2 linked regions of the Struthio camelus genome follow. The protein of the gene in region 1 purifies or fractionates together with the protein of each later gene. This does not show direct contact. Links are inferred from orthologs where the notes say so. Each region holds a gene or a part of one and is shown in the gene's direction. Other genes may lie near its edges.

Region 1 (7,310 bases):
CTAGTAAAATCATAATTGGATCAAACTTTGCATTCAAAAGCACATTCTTGGAGAATATTTTATATGCACATAAAACATCTGAGAAAATGTTAACATTATGATCTTAACTGCTTGCACATTGGAACCAGCTAAAGGTTAGGAAAACGCGGCCCATCTGGTACAGTACTCCAAACGGATTATTTCTGAGCGCGTTTCCTTCAGGACCTGGTTGGCGGCGGCGCAGGAGCCCCGCTCGGAGGAACTGCGGACGCGCTGCGACGCGCGCGCCAGGATGCTGCCCATCGTCCACAGCAGGAATCTGCCCCGTTTATTTTCACCGCGCTCACGACCCGGGTCCCCGGAGAAGGGGCAACACCCCGCCGCGACACAGGGCGGCCGAGGGCGGCCCCTGCCCCAGGCAGCCAGCAGGACGCCACCGCGCTCGCCGGCGCGGGGGCCCAGCCGAGGCGCGAGGAGGACCGGGAAGGTCTGGAGCAGCACCCGCTCCGCTGCGCCGCTCCACGCAGCTCCCCGCTTCCTATGCCTGTGCGGAGGTTGTTTGTTCAAGCAAACCAATTAGGTGTTTATTAGCCTTCATTATGGAGTGCGAGAGGGTTAATTAGTTCAGGCTGTTCCGACGGGGCTTGAGGGTGATCAGCAGCAGCTGATACCCAGGTTCCCAGGGCAACCCACCACCTAGCCTGATTTTTCTTTTCCTTTTTCTCTCTTCCCTGAGCAAATTAGGAGTGCCATTATCGGATTTGCAAACTGCTTAGCGCATGGAGTGCATCCGGGCAAGAGGAGGCTGGGGGCGCAGGGGACAGGGCAGCCCTGCCCCATCCCCTCCGCACCCGGCAGGCCCCAGGGAGGCAGAGGGGCTATCGTCTCTTGCTGCTCCATCGGCACCGAATTCATCCCAGCCATCGAAAGGCCTCTCGCGGAGGAAGGACAGCGCTGCGCTGGTCACCGCAGCGATGTGAATGAAGCAGCCCGGCCTGGCCAACGTGCAAAGGGGGAACCGCAAATGCTAAAAACGTGGGATTCACAGGAGTGTCAGAAACCCCCCGCGGACGCCCAGCTCGCTCCTGCCATGCTCCACGCATGACCGGAGAGGACCAGCCATTTCCACCTGGCTCCGTGTTTCCCCTCCCAGCGGCCTGCCCCGCCTCCTGAATGAATTAGAGCAGTTTCCAAAAAGACAAGGGTTAAATGCAGGCAAAAAAAGGTCTTTAAGATGGTCCGGTGCCATGTACCCAGACACCCCCAGGCCCAGTCTGCCACCCTCTGTATATTCTCTGTTTGGACTAACGGCCTTTCCTGTGATTTATTTGCCCGCAAACTCCCGCAGGTCTGTTTAGGTGCGAGAACGGCTCCTCTGAATGCAGATTTCCCTATCCCTTTAGATGGGAAGAGCAAACATTATCAGCTTTTTAGCAAAAGAAAATGTAAGCTTAGCAGAAGGGCAGGATGAAGTAATTCAGACTGCCAGACTGAACTCTGGCAATCAGGTACAAGATAACAATTGCTGTGGCCCTGCCTAATTATTTCTGCTCCAGCTAATTGTGAAAAAACAGTCATTTCCACTTAAAAGACGCCCCGTGTGATCTGCAGGATGGCGATTCCCCTGAGGAGCTGCAGGTCCCCGGCAGAGTCCCTGCCCAGCCCCATGAGGGCTTTGAAGAGCGATGCCCTGCAGGGGCAGCGTTCTCCACTGGCATTTTCCAATTACTGTACAGAGACATCTGTCCCGTAGCCACCTTGCCCTGAAATCCGAGTGCCGCTGTCCCTCGGCCGGGGAGAAGCAGGGGTTCACGGCCGCTGCAGCTGCAGCCGCACGCCGCCGGGTCTGCGCTCGGTCTGCCTTGGCTTGGAGTGCCTTAGGGGTCTCAGAGTCCTGGGACCCCCAGGAAAACTCCCAGGACCGGTCCAGACCCTGCTAACTGTGCAGCTACAACACACCCTACCTGCAAGCTCTCAGGTGTCCAGCTGCCCTAACATTTCCAGCACGACACGTAGAAATAACATCTGCTTTTTTGGAAATTTAAAGGAAACGACGCTCCAAAGGGGCTGTCTGGAGAAAGTCTGAACTGCCTCTGCTCTCCAGACTCCACACTGCAAACACAGCTCCCGGCGCGTGGCCAAAGAGGTCCAGAACAACAAGCCCTGTCCCCTCCTGCTTTTTCTTTATTTGCACTCTTTGGGTGATTTCCTGCTTTTCCCTCTTCAGCACAGCCTGAACAGAGCAGTTATAGGACCAATGGCAGGAGATAAAGCCCAAAAATCTGGGCTAGGTCAAATTTTCCAAACGGTTGCAGAGCACAGAGGCCATCGTCATGGAGGGCAGATGCGATGAAACGACCTTCCCCCTGCAGCAGCGCTGGTGCCTGCAGGTGGTGGCCCAGGCCCGGAAAAGCAGCCCCACGGGCGAGGGCAATAGCACTCGGGCTGATCCGGGCGGGCAGGACGCCGCATCCCTCCAGGCTGCGGGGCACAGGCGGCAGTGCCAAACGTGCTGCGGCACCTCGGGAAAAAGCCTTGCGTGAGGCTGCCAAAGGAAGCACGCAGGGGACAGGGCAGGCAGTCGGGGATGGGAGAGCCCTAAACATGCTGCCGTTAGTTTTCTTCCGGGTCAGTGATCCGTGTGCAAGCGCCTGCGCTGGACGGCTCCCGAGCCCTTCACTCCGCTGCCTGAACGCAGCTGCCCGCTCCGCAGCCGCTGGTTTATTGCCGTCATAAAACACGTACACCATCGTCTTGATTTGCTTACAATCTTGCTTTTAGCCATAAAAATGCAGAAAAGTGCATTCAGCAGAGGAATAAAGTTGAACCCTACAGCTAGATACTGCAGCCGCTTGCAGACGTGCCAGGGCTGCACAGGCCCGTGAAACAGCACAGGCACACTGAGCAAGGCCAGGTTACTCAGCCAGGAGCGTTTTCTGTCCCTAAGAACACAAATTAGAGACCACATTTTACTACCAACATCTGGAATTTCAATGCCCTTGCAATAGATAACATCTGGATTGAATTCTCCTTTTATTTTTTACAGGGTCTTCTTATTTAATAAATAATAATAGTTTATTACTGCACTGTAAAATATCATAATCCTTTTCTCAGCAAGAATGAAAAAGATTCAGAAAAAATAGGAAGTGCTTTAAAAAGAGCACTGCCAAGAACTAACGAAAACAGAGCATTCCCTCAATAGAGAGATGTTTCTGCTTATTTCTGCATTTTATGGCACTCAGCTCAGTGTGTATTTGCAGATGTGCCAACAAGTGCACCAACAATCTAATAAAATCTTGGCTCACACGAGCTGAACCTGCGGAAGGCGCTTCACACCTCCTCGAGCTGGGCTGCTCCCCTGCAGCACTGGCTCGGGCCGGGCTGCCGTGGGCGCATCTCGCGCACACACATCCTCATGGAGCTGCTCACGACTCGGGTCTGCGGGGATCGGGGTCTGCCCGGATCGGGGTCTGCAGGGATCGGGGTCTGCCCGGATCGGGGTCTGCCGGGATCGGGGTCTGCAGGAACTGGGGTCCGCTGGGATTGGGGTCCATGGGGATTGGGGTCTGCAGGGATCACGGTCCACGGGGATCAGGGTTCAAGGGGACTGGGGTCTGCAGGGATTGGGGTCAATGGGGATCAAGGTCCACAGGGCCTGGGGTCTGCAGGGATCGGGGTCCACGGAGATCGGGGTCCGCGGGGCTCGGCACGGGAGCGGCCTCTGCTGGGGCCGCGCCAGCCATGGGCCGCTGAGCCCAGCCGCAGGCCTGGGCAGCGTTTCCCCAGCCCGTCGCTCCCACGCGTGTCACAACGGCGTGAGTCGAAGAGGGGAGGCCAGACAAGGTGCAAAATTCTGGGATGAGACTGTTAATGATTCCCCTTGCTGCTGGCCCAGCGTCGGCTTTCCAGTTGCCCCTCAACTAAACGATCTTCGGCCTTGCTTACGTCTGGCAGAAGCGGGACTCCCACGGGGGAGGCCACGATCCCCGCTCATCAGCGTCGCGAACGCCGGACGAAGCCGGAGCGAACGCCAGCCCGCGCCAAGCGGAGCGCAATTCACCCGCCGCAGCGCAGGCGAGGCGGCCGGCGCCTCCCGGGGCTACCGGCCAGCGCGGCGGCCCCGGCGGCCCCCCGGGACCAGGCCTCCCAGGAGGATCCATCTGCTTCCGCGGGGGAGCAGGACTGTACCATGCTGACGGGGGAGGGGGGGTGCGTCACGAAGACTGCACCAAGCCGCGCGCGCCTGCGGGGAAACAGACCCGTGATGGGCGGGGCAGGCACCCTGCAACCAATGGGATGCGGCGTGGCGAGGCGCATGCGCAGAGGATCCCCGGTGGCCTCTCCCGGCCCGTCCGCCAGAGGGGTGGGGAGGTGCATGCGCAGGGCGGGCGCTTCCGCTTCTTTCCGGGCCCTCAGCAACGCCGACGCGTTTGCGACAGCCGTAAGTGCGGCGGCGGCGGCGGCGGCGGCGGCTCGCCGCGGAGCGATGAGGCCGCAGCAGGCGCCCGTGTCGGGCAAGGTGTTCATCCAGCGGGACTACAGCGGCGGCACGCGGTGCCAGTTCCAGAGCAAGTTCCCGGCCGAGCTGGAGAACCGGGTAAGGCGGGCGGCGCCCCGCCCCGCTCGCCGCAGCACCGGGCCCGAGGCCGGGGTGGGGGGCGGGGGTGAGCGAGCGGCGGCGGCTCGGGCTCCTCGGAGGGGCCCGGAGAGCCCTGGCGGCGCGGCGGAGCCCCGCGAGCACGTGGAAGGTCCCTCCTCGTCCTCCCTGCCTCCGCTCCCAGCCCTCGCTCTAGGCGGGGGAGGGAAGCGGAGCCCCTCTCGGTGGCCGGGGAGCAGCTCTCCTCCGTCACGCCCCACGGGGGGTCTGCTAAGACCTGTCAGGTTTACTTCCAAGTTTAAAGACGGTAGCAGTTTCTTTTCCTCATCTTGATCCTGTCTGATGCACATCATGAGAGGGCATGTTTTCAGAGTTTGAAAGCAAAGTTTGAAAGAATGTTTCCACATTCTTTGGTTTTGGGCATGTAAACGTTGTTCATTGTATAAATGTCACTTGTGATTTATTGTAGCTACAAAATGCTTCTAATTTGACAAGAATATCTATGTTCAAAAATGCTTCTTTTCAGTGGTTTTGAAACGCTGGTGGTTTGTGCTATCTTTAATCCTGAGGAAAACAGCAGTCCTTTTGTAGCAATAAAATAAAAATGCACTCATTATGTCAATGAGAATAAAGCGTGCATTGTTGCACTGTGATGCATTAACGCTGACTTTTCTTGTGGAGACCAGACAGGTCTGCTGAGCCTGTTCAGTAGCCTTACAAGTACTGTCTCAAGTACTTTAATTTTGTTTATTGCAGTCAAACGTGACATCTTCAACTGATAGCCAAATGACCACTCCTTGATAATGCCTTTTCTTTTTCTCACTGTCCTTTTCTTCTTTTCTACTTTTTTCTGTTGGTTTAGTTGAGGGCTTATTTGAGCAGCACTGTAGAAGCCCCAAGGAATTACTGGTATCAGGAATTAGCTTTGTTAATCCATTCACATAATGCTCTTTTTTTTAATCTAGTAGATATCTCTGCCTGTGGATTTCTTTCTTTTTTTTTTTTTTAAGTGAATTGCCCTTTGGTTTAGTTAGTTGTTACTCCTAATTTCTTTGTGTTCAGACTGTTTTGGAATTCAGACTTGATCTAATCGCTTAGCGGATATTTACCAAAGAACTGCAGGTCTGTAATTCAAGGTGTCCTTCAAACTTTGGCTCTAAACGTATTACCTGTTTTAGATGTTTGTAGGTGACGCTACTGACAAAGTGTGGAAGTGCACGTGAGCAATAAATGAAGGTAGATATCTGATGATATCTGTGAGTTCTGAAGTGTGCAGGGCATGACTGTTAAATTTGACTTCTTCTGCAGATTGATAGGCAGCAGTTTGAAGAGACCGTCCGAACACTGAATAACCTTTATGCAGAAGCTGAAAAACTTGGAGGCCAGTCTTACCTTGAAGGGTGTCTAGCCTGTTTGACTGCCTATACTATCTTCTTGTGCATGGAAACACATTATGAAAAGGTAAGTCTACCTTACTGCTTGGAAGGCAGTGTATTCCATAGATTTCAGTTAAGGATTTGTTTCCTGGTAGATTTTCTGTGACTTGTACCATTCTTGTACAATTCCATATAGACACCAGAGCTTACTACAGAGTGACTTTACATATAGGCAAGCCTCTTGATAGATATCTAGTCAAACTGAGTGTTGACTTGTGCTTTAAATTCCAGAAGAATCATGTAACTTCTATCTGTAATGAAAACTGGCATTGTGACGTTAGGGTCCCCTAACGTTGTTATATTTGTGATAAAGCTGGGGCTCTGACTCTAATGCAGTAAAAACTGGTTAAGAAACTGACCTCTATGCTGTTCTATTATCAGGTTCTAAAGAAAATTGCCAAGTTCATTCAGGAACAGAATGAGAAGATCTATGCTCCTCAGGGCCTCCTTCTGACAGACCCTATTGAAAGAGGATTAAGAGTTGTATCCTTTAGTGGTTTCTTAGATTGTCTGCTGGTTTGTCCGTCTATGAAACGCTGACGTTTTATCTCAGTTAGAAGGGCATTCTGTAGTTCTAATGTCTTGCTTCTGGTTTTGTTTTCATAATCTTTTTATAGTATGTTTCCCTAACGGCCTTTCTCTGCAGATTGAAATTACCATTTATGAAGACAGAGGTATGAGCAGTGGAAGATAAAACTGTGGAGTCTAAGGTATTATTCACTTTATATTACATGTCAATCTAAACCCGTTCCTATACGCTCAGAGGGATAGACTGTCTTGCTGAGGGAGAATGTGTATGCAACCACTGCATGTAATCAAAGGCGTTTAACATAAATCTTGTGTGGATTAGATTTTCAGATACCGGTTGAAGATGTAAAAATAGCAATAATTAGCAGTATCCCACTGAATAATAGTGAAGTTCAGATGATACTAGATTTAATGAAATACAGGTCTTGATTGTGTAAATACATATAAATCTAACTTGTGCTGTGTAGTGTCAAAAATTGTTCTCTCACTTGTAGAGCCATGAGTCTTGATTCTGAAGTTTCTCTGTCATAAGATTGCTCAGAACCTTAAGCCTTCCCTTTAAAAGCAGACTTTAAAATAGGTTGCTTTTGGATCTCAGAACAGATTTCAGGCTAATCGCATAAGATATTCAGAAATAATCAGGAAAAATAATTGATGTTTTTCCTGTACTGCTGTCAAAGATGCAGTTTTCCCCATCAAATTATTTTTCGGAAGTACATGGGGCTTGGATCTCTTGTAAAAGCTTCTATGTTTCAAGCACATGTAGTCAA
Region 2 (7,508 bases), on another chromosome or scaffold:
AGACCCGGGGCAGGGAAGGGAGGGCGGCATGCAAATGGCATGCAAATGAGATGCAGATGAGCCCGGCGCCTTTCCCACGGGGCCGCGGGCACGTTCTAAGGAGATGCAAATGGCATGCCAAAGAACGCGTGACGCACGGCGCGCGCGGGGAGGGGGAGGTCCCAAGCCTGACATGCAAATATATGCAAATGAGCCGGGAGCGCGATCGGCCCCCGCGGGGCAGCGCCCTGGACTACGTCTCCCAGGGGGCGCCGCGCGCCGCCGCGCCTGCGCGCTGGGGGGGAAGGGGGCCGCGCGGCCGCCGAGGGGGACGCGTCACCCAGGAGGCGCCGCGCGCGGGTGCCCTGGCAACGCCCCCTCCGACTTGCCCCCTCATGGGTCCGGCGCGGGGTCGCCCGCGTGACCTCACTTCCGGCGCGGCCTAGAGACGCCCCCCCGCGGGGGCCGGAAGTGCGCCGGCTCCGCGAGCGCCCCGGTAAGAGGGTGGGGGGGGAGGCGCCGGGCCGGCCACGGGGGTGCCCCCCCCCCCGCGCCTGGGGCAGGGCGAGACCCCCGAGCCGGGCCGGGGTTGGGGCGGGGACCCCCTGGAGCGGGCCGGGGGAAGCCTGGGGGCCCCCTGGAGCGGGCCGGGGACTCGCAAGGCGAGTCGGGGCCCCCTAAGTGGACTGGGGTCCCCTGGAGCAGGCTGGAGACCCGCGAGTCGGGCAGGGGCCCCCTAAATGGGCCGAGGACCCCCCCCCGGAGCGGGCCAGGGATTCCCAAATCCGGCTGGAGGAGGGTCGGGGACGCTGAGGTGGTGCGGGCAGAGCTGGGGCTGGGTGGGGGGAAGGAGCAGGGGCAGCTCCCCCAGCAGGGCTGGGGAAGGAGCTGCCGTGCCCCGCCGCTGACAGCCTGCGCTGCCCCGCAGAGGGCCAAGCGATGGCGGACGATGGCGGCGACGAGAAGAAGCAGGTGGCCAAGTTCGAGCTGGAGCGGGAGACGGAGTTGCGGTTCGAGGTGGAGGCCTCGCAGACGGTGCAGCTGGAGCTGCTCACCGGCATGGCAGAGGTCTTCGGCACCGAGCTCACCCGCAACAAGAAGTTCACCTTCGACGCCGGCGCCAAGGTGGCCGTCTTCACCTGGCACGGCTGCACCGTGCAGCTCAGCGGGCGCACCGAGGTGGCCTACGTCTCCAAGGACACCCCCATGCTGCTCTACCTCAACACCCACACGGCCCTGGAGCAGATGCGCCGGCAGGCGGAGCGCGAGGACGAGCGGGGGCCCCGCGTCATGGTGGTGGGCCCCACGGACGTGGGCAAGTCGACCGTGTGCCGCCTGCTGCTGAACTACGCCGTGCGCCTGGGGCGCCGGCCCACCTTTGTGGAGCTGGACGTGGGCCAGGGCTCCGTCTCCATCCCCGGCACCATGGGGGCCCTCTACATTGAGCGCCCTGCCGACGTGGAGGAGGGCTTCTCCCTGCAGGCCCCGCTGGTTTATCACTTCGGCTCCACCACGCCTGGCACCAACATCAAGCTGTACAATAAGGTGAGTATGGGGGGGGGGCCCGGGGGGGGGTCTGGGAACGGTGCAGCCCTGCGGTAGGGCCCGGGCACGGGGCTGCACCGCTTTTGGAGGCTTTTGCAGGTTAAACCCTGAGCAACCTGATCTGGCTTGGTAGTCAGCCCTGTTTGGGGCAGGGCTAGGGCTAGGGCTAGAGCTCCCTTCCGCCTTACTTATTCTGGGAGACTCTGATCTGTTTTGCTGCTACGTAAAACCATGGTGCGCTTCAGTGTCGTGCCTGCTTCCGGGCGCTCCTGCTCAAGAAAGACGTTGTGAAGTTTGAGAAGGTGCAGAGAGGCGTAACTGTATCAAGGGGATGGAGTAGCTGTGTTAGGAGAGACTAAGAAGGCCGCAGCCTTTCAGTCCAGAGAGGAGAGGGCTGAGGGAGTCTGACGGGTTTACAAAATCGTACAGCTGCTAGGTGAGCCAAACGGGGAACTGTTAGTCACCGCAGCTTGCAACAGAGGAAATACGGGACGTCCGATGAAACCAGCTGGAAATTGGTTTAGAGCAAATAAAAACAAGCTCTTCTGTACACAGCTGTCACAGCAGGCTGCGGAGGCAGACAGAATCGGCGGGGTCAAGAGGGACTTAATGCATTCGTGGACAGCAGGCCCATAAATAGATGTGAAAAAGGGTGGGCAGAGATGTACTTTCTACCATCCCTACAGCTGCATGGGGAGCTGGGTAGAAATGGACTGCAGAAGGTGACCAGGCTCACATGTCCTCCTTTAAAAAAAAAAAAAAAAAGTGTCTGTCATTGCCAATGTCTCTTGCTGTTTGGGGATAGAAGCTTCTCAGTTGCTCCCCTGAGCCTTTTACCCAGTCAGGACCAATGTGGTCCTACTCACGTGCTGTGGCTTTGAGGATCTCAAAGGAGGCGGCAAGCGTAAGCACAGCAGGGGAGATATCTGGGATGCTGAAATACTGTGGTAGCCCAGCTGGGGAAAGCGTGGAGGGGTCAGAGTGCAGAGCAGCAACGGATCCCGTCTCCTCCCTGTTCCTCCTCTGCCAGAGAAGGTGTTGCCATCTTGTCTGCTCCGGGGCTCCTAATGGCAGCAGCCCTGAGAAGGGGGTACAGGTGGAAGGGGGATTCAGCTCCTGGCGTGCCCGAAGAGATCTCTCTGTCCTAATATTTCTGCCCTTTCTTCCTCACAGATCACATCCCGCCTGGCAGACGTCTTCAACCAGCGGTGTGAAGTGAACCGCCGAGCGTCGGTAAGCGGCTGCGTCATCAACACGTGCGGCTGGGTGAAGGGCTCGGGGTACCAGGCGCTGGTGCACGCCGCCTCTGCCTTCGAGGTGGACGTGGTGGTGGTGCTGGACCAAGAGCGGCTCTACAACGAGCTGAAGAGGGACCTGCCCCACTTTGTGCGCACGGTGCTGCTCCCCAAATCCGGTGGGGTGGTGGAGCGCTCCAAGGACTTCCGGCGGGAGTGCCGAGACGACCGCATCAGGGAGTATTTCTACGGCTTCCGGGGTTGCTTCTACCCCCACGCCTTTGACGTCAAGTTCTCTGACGTCAAGATCTACAAGGTGGGGGCTCCCACCATCCCGGACTCCTGCCTCCCCCTGGGCATGTCGCAGGAGGACAACCAGCTCAAGCTGGTGCCGGTGACGCCGGGGCGGGACATGGTGCACCACCTGCTGAGCGTCAGCATGGCCGACAGCCCCGACGACAACATCTCGGAGACGAGCGTGGCCGGCTTCATCGTGGTCACCGGCGTGGACCTGGAGCGCCAGGTCTTCACCGTGCTGTCGCCTGCCCCTCGCCCGCTGCCCAAGAACTTCCTCCTCATCATGGACATTCGCTTCATGGATCTGAAGTAGAAGCAGAAAATAGGGAGTCTCCTCGGAGACGGGAGAAACAGAGGGGGCAGCCCCACACCTCAGACTTCCAGGGGAGCAAGGAAACATCTGCCAGCTGGGTCATCCTGCGCGGCTGGAAGTTGTCTGCTTGCCTGTGTCCTTTCTTCTTCATCCAGCAGGTTTCTGGCCCCGAAGTCTGGCCACTTCTCCCCTTCTCACGTGCCAGCGAGCACTGCTGAGCCCTCTCATACAAGAGGCTCGCTGCTCGATCTTTTTTTTAATATCCTTTTATAACTTTTGTTATTAAATTTCCTAGCCTTTTGCTTTTCCGTGCCCTGTGAACTTTTGTCCCGGTGCCTCAGCAGTGGGGCAAAGCGGAGGGGGCAGGTAAGGAGAAGAGCAGCTCAAGGCCGAGCGATGGGAATCCTGCGCTGCTGATAAAACAGAGAGAGGCTTTGGTGGGGGAAGCTGAGGCTGGGGAGACGGTGGGAGCAGAAGCCATGTCTTTCCTCTCCGACTTACTCCCCTGAGCTCTGCGGGGAGGGGGGGGAGCGTAGAAGAACATGACCCTCACCCCCGTGGCCTGCTGTCTTTAATGACCCGGGTAGGAGGGAGACCCCCCCCCCAAAGAGGGGGAGCAGCCCCCTGCCTCAGGGGCAGACGGGGCACCCGGGGGGCACCCAGACCCCGGGGCTGCCTTCGGGCAGGGGGTCCCCTGCCCACCCCGGGTGTGGACCCTGCGCCTGTGAGGCCAGTGGTGCCCCCGGAGCACGGGGAGGGGGGGGAGCTGGAGGCGGGGGACACGGCGACCACCGACCCCTCGGTTGTGCCATGGGGGGGGCGCCCCCCCTCCCGGGCTGTGCCACGGGCCGCGGCGGGGGAGGAGCGGCGGCCCCCCCCGCAGCTGCGCAGTGCGCGCCGCCACCCGCCGCGAGGGTGGTACGTTCCGCGCATGCGCCCGCCCACCCCCTCCCGACGCATGCGCACCGCCTCCCACCACCACCTTCCCCCCCTCTTCCTCCCACCCGCGCGCATGCGCGCCGCTCTCCCCCCTCGCCTACTTCCAGGCGGTTCCCCGCGGCGCGCGGCCCAATGAGGTGTGGCGGGCGGGGGCGCGCGCGACGCTGCCGCCGCCACCGCCGCCGCCGCCGCCGGGGCCCGGTTTCCGGCCGGTGCGCAGGCGCGGCCCCCGTGACGTCGTGGCCGGCCGCCGAGCGCCGCGACGGTTCGTGGCCGGCAGCGTTGCGCGCGGCCCTTCCCAGCCGCCTCCGGGCCGGGCCGGGCCGCGCCGCGCCGCCCGGTGAGTCACAGCGGGCCCCCGGCCGCCTCCGGGCCCCTTCCCCCGCTCCCCCCGCTTTCCTCCGGCCTCGCCCGCCGTGTGCCCGGCCCCGGGGAGGGGGGGGGCGGGGGGGCGGCAGCCCGAGGCGGTTCCCTCCGCCGGTTCCGGCCGGCTGTGCCCCCGCGGAGCCGGTCCCCCGTGGCGGCGGCGGCGGCGGCCCTGCCCGCTCCGCCGTCCCCCCTGCCCCTGCTTAACGGCCCGGCGGGTTAAGGCAGCACCTCCTTAACAGGAACTCTGCTTCCTTCTGCTCCTGGCTAAGATGTCGCCTTCCTGCTGGGCCAGCGGTGACCGCCGGTGCCTTCCCCCCCGGGCTCCCCGCCTGAAGCCCCTTCTCCCCTCACCTCCCCCCAGCTGCCCTCTGCAAGGGCAGGTGTTGCCCCCCCCCCCCCCACGGCCGGGGTTGGGGGTGTTGGGGGGGGGGATTGCTGGGCCGCGCCGGTGGCCCTGCCGTGGGTGCGGTAGCGCCGCGAGTCCTGCGGGCCTGGAGGATGGGGAGCGCTGGTGTTTGAGAGGCTGGGGGCGGCGGGCGTACGTGCACCTGCCAGCGGCTTCGTTTCCCCCGTTGCCTGCGTCCGGAGCTCGCCCCTGGATAGGCGGAGGTCGTCGTTCGTTGTCCTTCCGTGCTGGGATCGGTTGCTTTTGCTTTTCGATCCCTCTGCTTTAGGAGCCGTCGTGGTTACAGCCCTCGAAGTAGGCAGCGTTATTCTGTGAGTGACTCCTTCCTGGCTGAGCGGGTGGAACAGTTGCGTCCGTGTGAAAGTTTTCCGTTCCAGGACACGTTTGCTGTCCTCTAACTGGGACCGTCCTCGCTGCCAGTAGCCCTAATACCTTTGATAAAGTCTCTACAACTTTATTTTCTGACAGCCTGGTGTCTGGACTTACGTGTTCTGATTCTCGTGGCCTGCCAGTGGCCAGAAGTTAAAACCTCAGGCTCTGACAGCGCCCTGTTCTGTGTGCTGCTGCCTTGTCTAAATCCGAGTTACGCCTCAAAACACGTTTCCACGTTACGTTCTGTGGTTTTTGGTGGTGTAATAGGTTGCGTTGGCCAGTGTTCAACCTGACTTTTACTCGGAAGTTTTAAAGGATGGATGTGAGATGTGTAAAGCTCAATTTGTTGCCTCTGTGTGTTTGGTGGCATCTCCCTTAGATGAGATTAAAACCCCCAAATCTCCGCCCTCCCGCCCATCTTGCTGATGCAGGAAAGAGGGACTTCTTTTGCGTTTATAGCGTTGCCTTACTGGTGACTTCGTAGGAAGCGGTTTCCTCTAGGAGTTCTAGTTTTCACTCCATCATATATCCCAAATGGGGCATTTAGGGAAGCACGCTTTCTACCCTTGATGCTCCTGGAGTTTTTCTGGGGTATAAAATATGACTAGAGCCTCGTCTAGATCCAAATGAGGAGAGTTGATCTTGGATCAACTTAGCAGGCTTAATCTAATTATCACCTTCTCTGCCTTCCAGTCGAGACAGCAATTGTTTTTTAGCAGGGGGCTTTAATTCCTGTTGGTTTCTGAGGTAGGAGGTAGCCTTGACTAGAGGCTGTGACAGTGATAATTAAACGAAGCTGACTGGGTCTAACAGGAGACCTTTAACTCCTATTTTAGACAAGGCCTATTTTGGGAAATTCACACCTCTATTGCTGTGCCCATTGTTTCAGTCCCTGACGGTTGCTTCTGATAACACAATGGCAAGAGAGCTGGGCTTTAGTCCTTGCTCGCTGTGATACGCTGAATGAGATGTGGATGCGTTGAAGGCATAGAGGCATCCTACTTCCCTGCTTTGTCTGTAAAACGGGGCTAATCCTGTGTAAATCACTGTAAGATGGACAGAAGAAAAAGAACGGGAGTGGTATAAGCCAGGCCAGGAGATAAGTACTGAGTGGATGCTGGCTTCGTTAGCTGTTCTCTGGAAGAAAATATTTGTCCCTCTTCTGTTTTCTTACTCCCCTTTAGAAGAAAATGGGACACCTAACTGCACAAAAATGCAATAATGCAAAACTTAGGCTATTTGCCTGAAAACATGAGGGAAGCCATGGAAGTTTAGTTCTAGACGGGTTTCCTAATTTCCCCACAATGAAAGCACACAGCGTGACTGTATATTCTCCTTGCGAATTAAACGCAGGAAAACGTCACCAAATAGTCTCTTTGAGGCGGGGGGCTCACGTTTCTGTACAGTGCTGAGCGCAAGAGGGCCTGACTTCTGTAGTCCAGTATTACCACGATACAGATGATAAGAAAATTGTTGTATATGGGGAAGCCGTGCAGCTTCATGTTGCTATGGGAATGTTAATATTTACCTTTCCACGTAGCATCCAGCTGTCTGACGTTAAACTCTTATCAATGCAAGAATATTTTTGCTTTTGATTTTAAGTTGTGGTATGCATCTCTGTTACCGAAATCCAGTTGTGTCGTCCATGTTAAAAAGATACTTGTCTTTGACTTCTTCTCACTCTCCAGGTTCTGTGATTGAAATGACAGAGTGGGTCCTGGCTGGGACGTATTTCAGATCTCATCAGTGCCTCTCCTTGCTGGAAGACAGGGAAGGTCGCAGAGAAAAGTGGTGTTCTCCTGTTGATAGTCTGCAGAGTGAGACATTTGGTCTGATTCAGTTGGCAGGTTTAAGAACGCTCTTGCTCTCTCTCCTGATTCTGACAGTTCTTAAATATCAGTGGTAGACGAGAGCTGATTGTGCAACTCTCTTCTGCTTTGGTGTAAGCATCAATCAAGGATTCTGTGCCAAAACGGGGGAGTCTGCGACGTCGGGCTGGCCGCCTCGCTTGGTTTTAGCTGTGAAAGGTTGAGGGTACCGAGGCTCAGGACGA

The links.
Region 2: the proteins of GOLGA7 (region 1) and ZDHHC5 purify together in Homo sapiens (co-immunoprecipitation; 3 studies listed by BioGRID and IntAct, with this or other methods). This does not show direct contact. The link is inferred for Struthio camelus from reciprocal best matches to the Homo sapiens genes GOLGA7 and ZDHHC5.

What each region holds. Positions count from the first base shown.
Region 1 is NC_090968.1:7,699,512-7,706,821, forward strand, and holds the start of GOLGA7 (golgin subfamily A member 7), read left to right. Parts: upstream 1-4,293; 5' UTR 4,294-4,294; coding exon 4,295-4,576; intron 4,577-5,884; coding exon 5,885-6,037; intron 6,038-6,393; coding exon 6,394-6,495; intron 6,496-6,658; coding exon 6,659-6,706; 3' UTR 6,707-6,722; intron 6,723-7,310. UniProt on the Homo sapiens protein: May be involved in protein transport from Golgi to cell surface. The ZDHHC9-GOLGA7 complex is a palmitoyltransferase specific for HRAS and NRAS.
Region 2 is NC_090946.1:7,497,496-7,505,003, reverse strand, and holds the start of ZDHHC5 (palmitoyltransferase ZDHHC5), read left to right. Parts: upstream 1-4,508; 5' UTR 4,509-4,648; intron 4,649-7,508. Other genes in the region: polyribonucleotide 5'-hydroxyl-kinase Clp1, read left to right, coding at 919-1,524, 2,698-3,369. UniProt on the Homo sapiens protein: Palmitoyltransferase that catalyzes the addition of palmitate onto various protein substrates such as CTNND2, CD36, GSDMD, NLRP3, NOD1, NOD2, STAT3 and S1PR1 thus plays a role in various biological processes including cell adhesion, inflammation, fatty acid uptake, bacterial sensing or cardiac functions.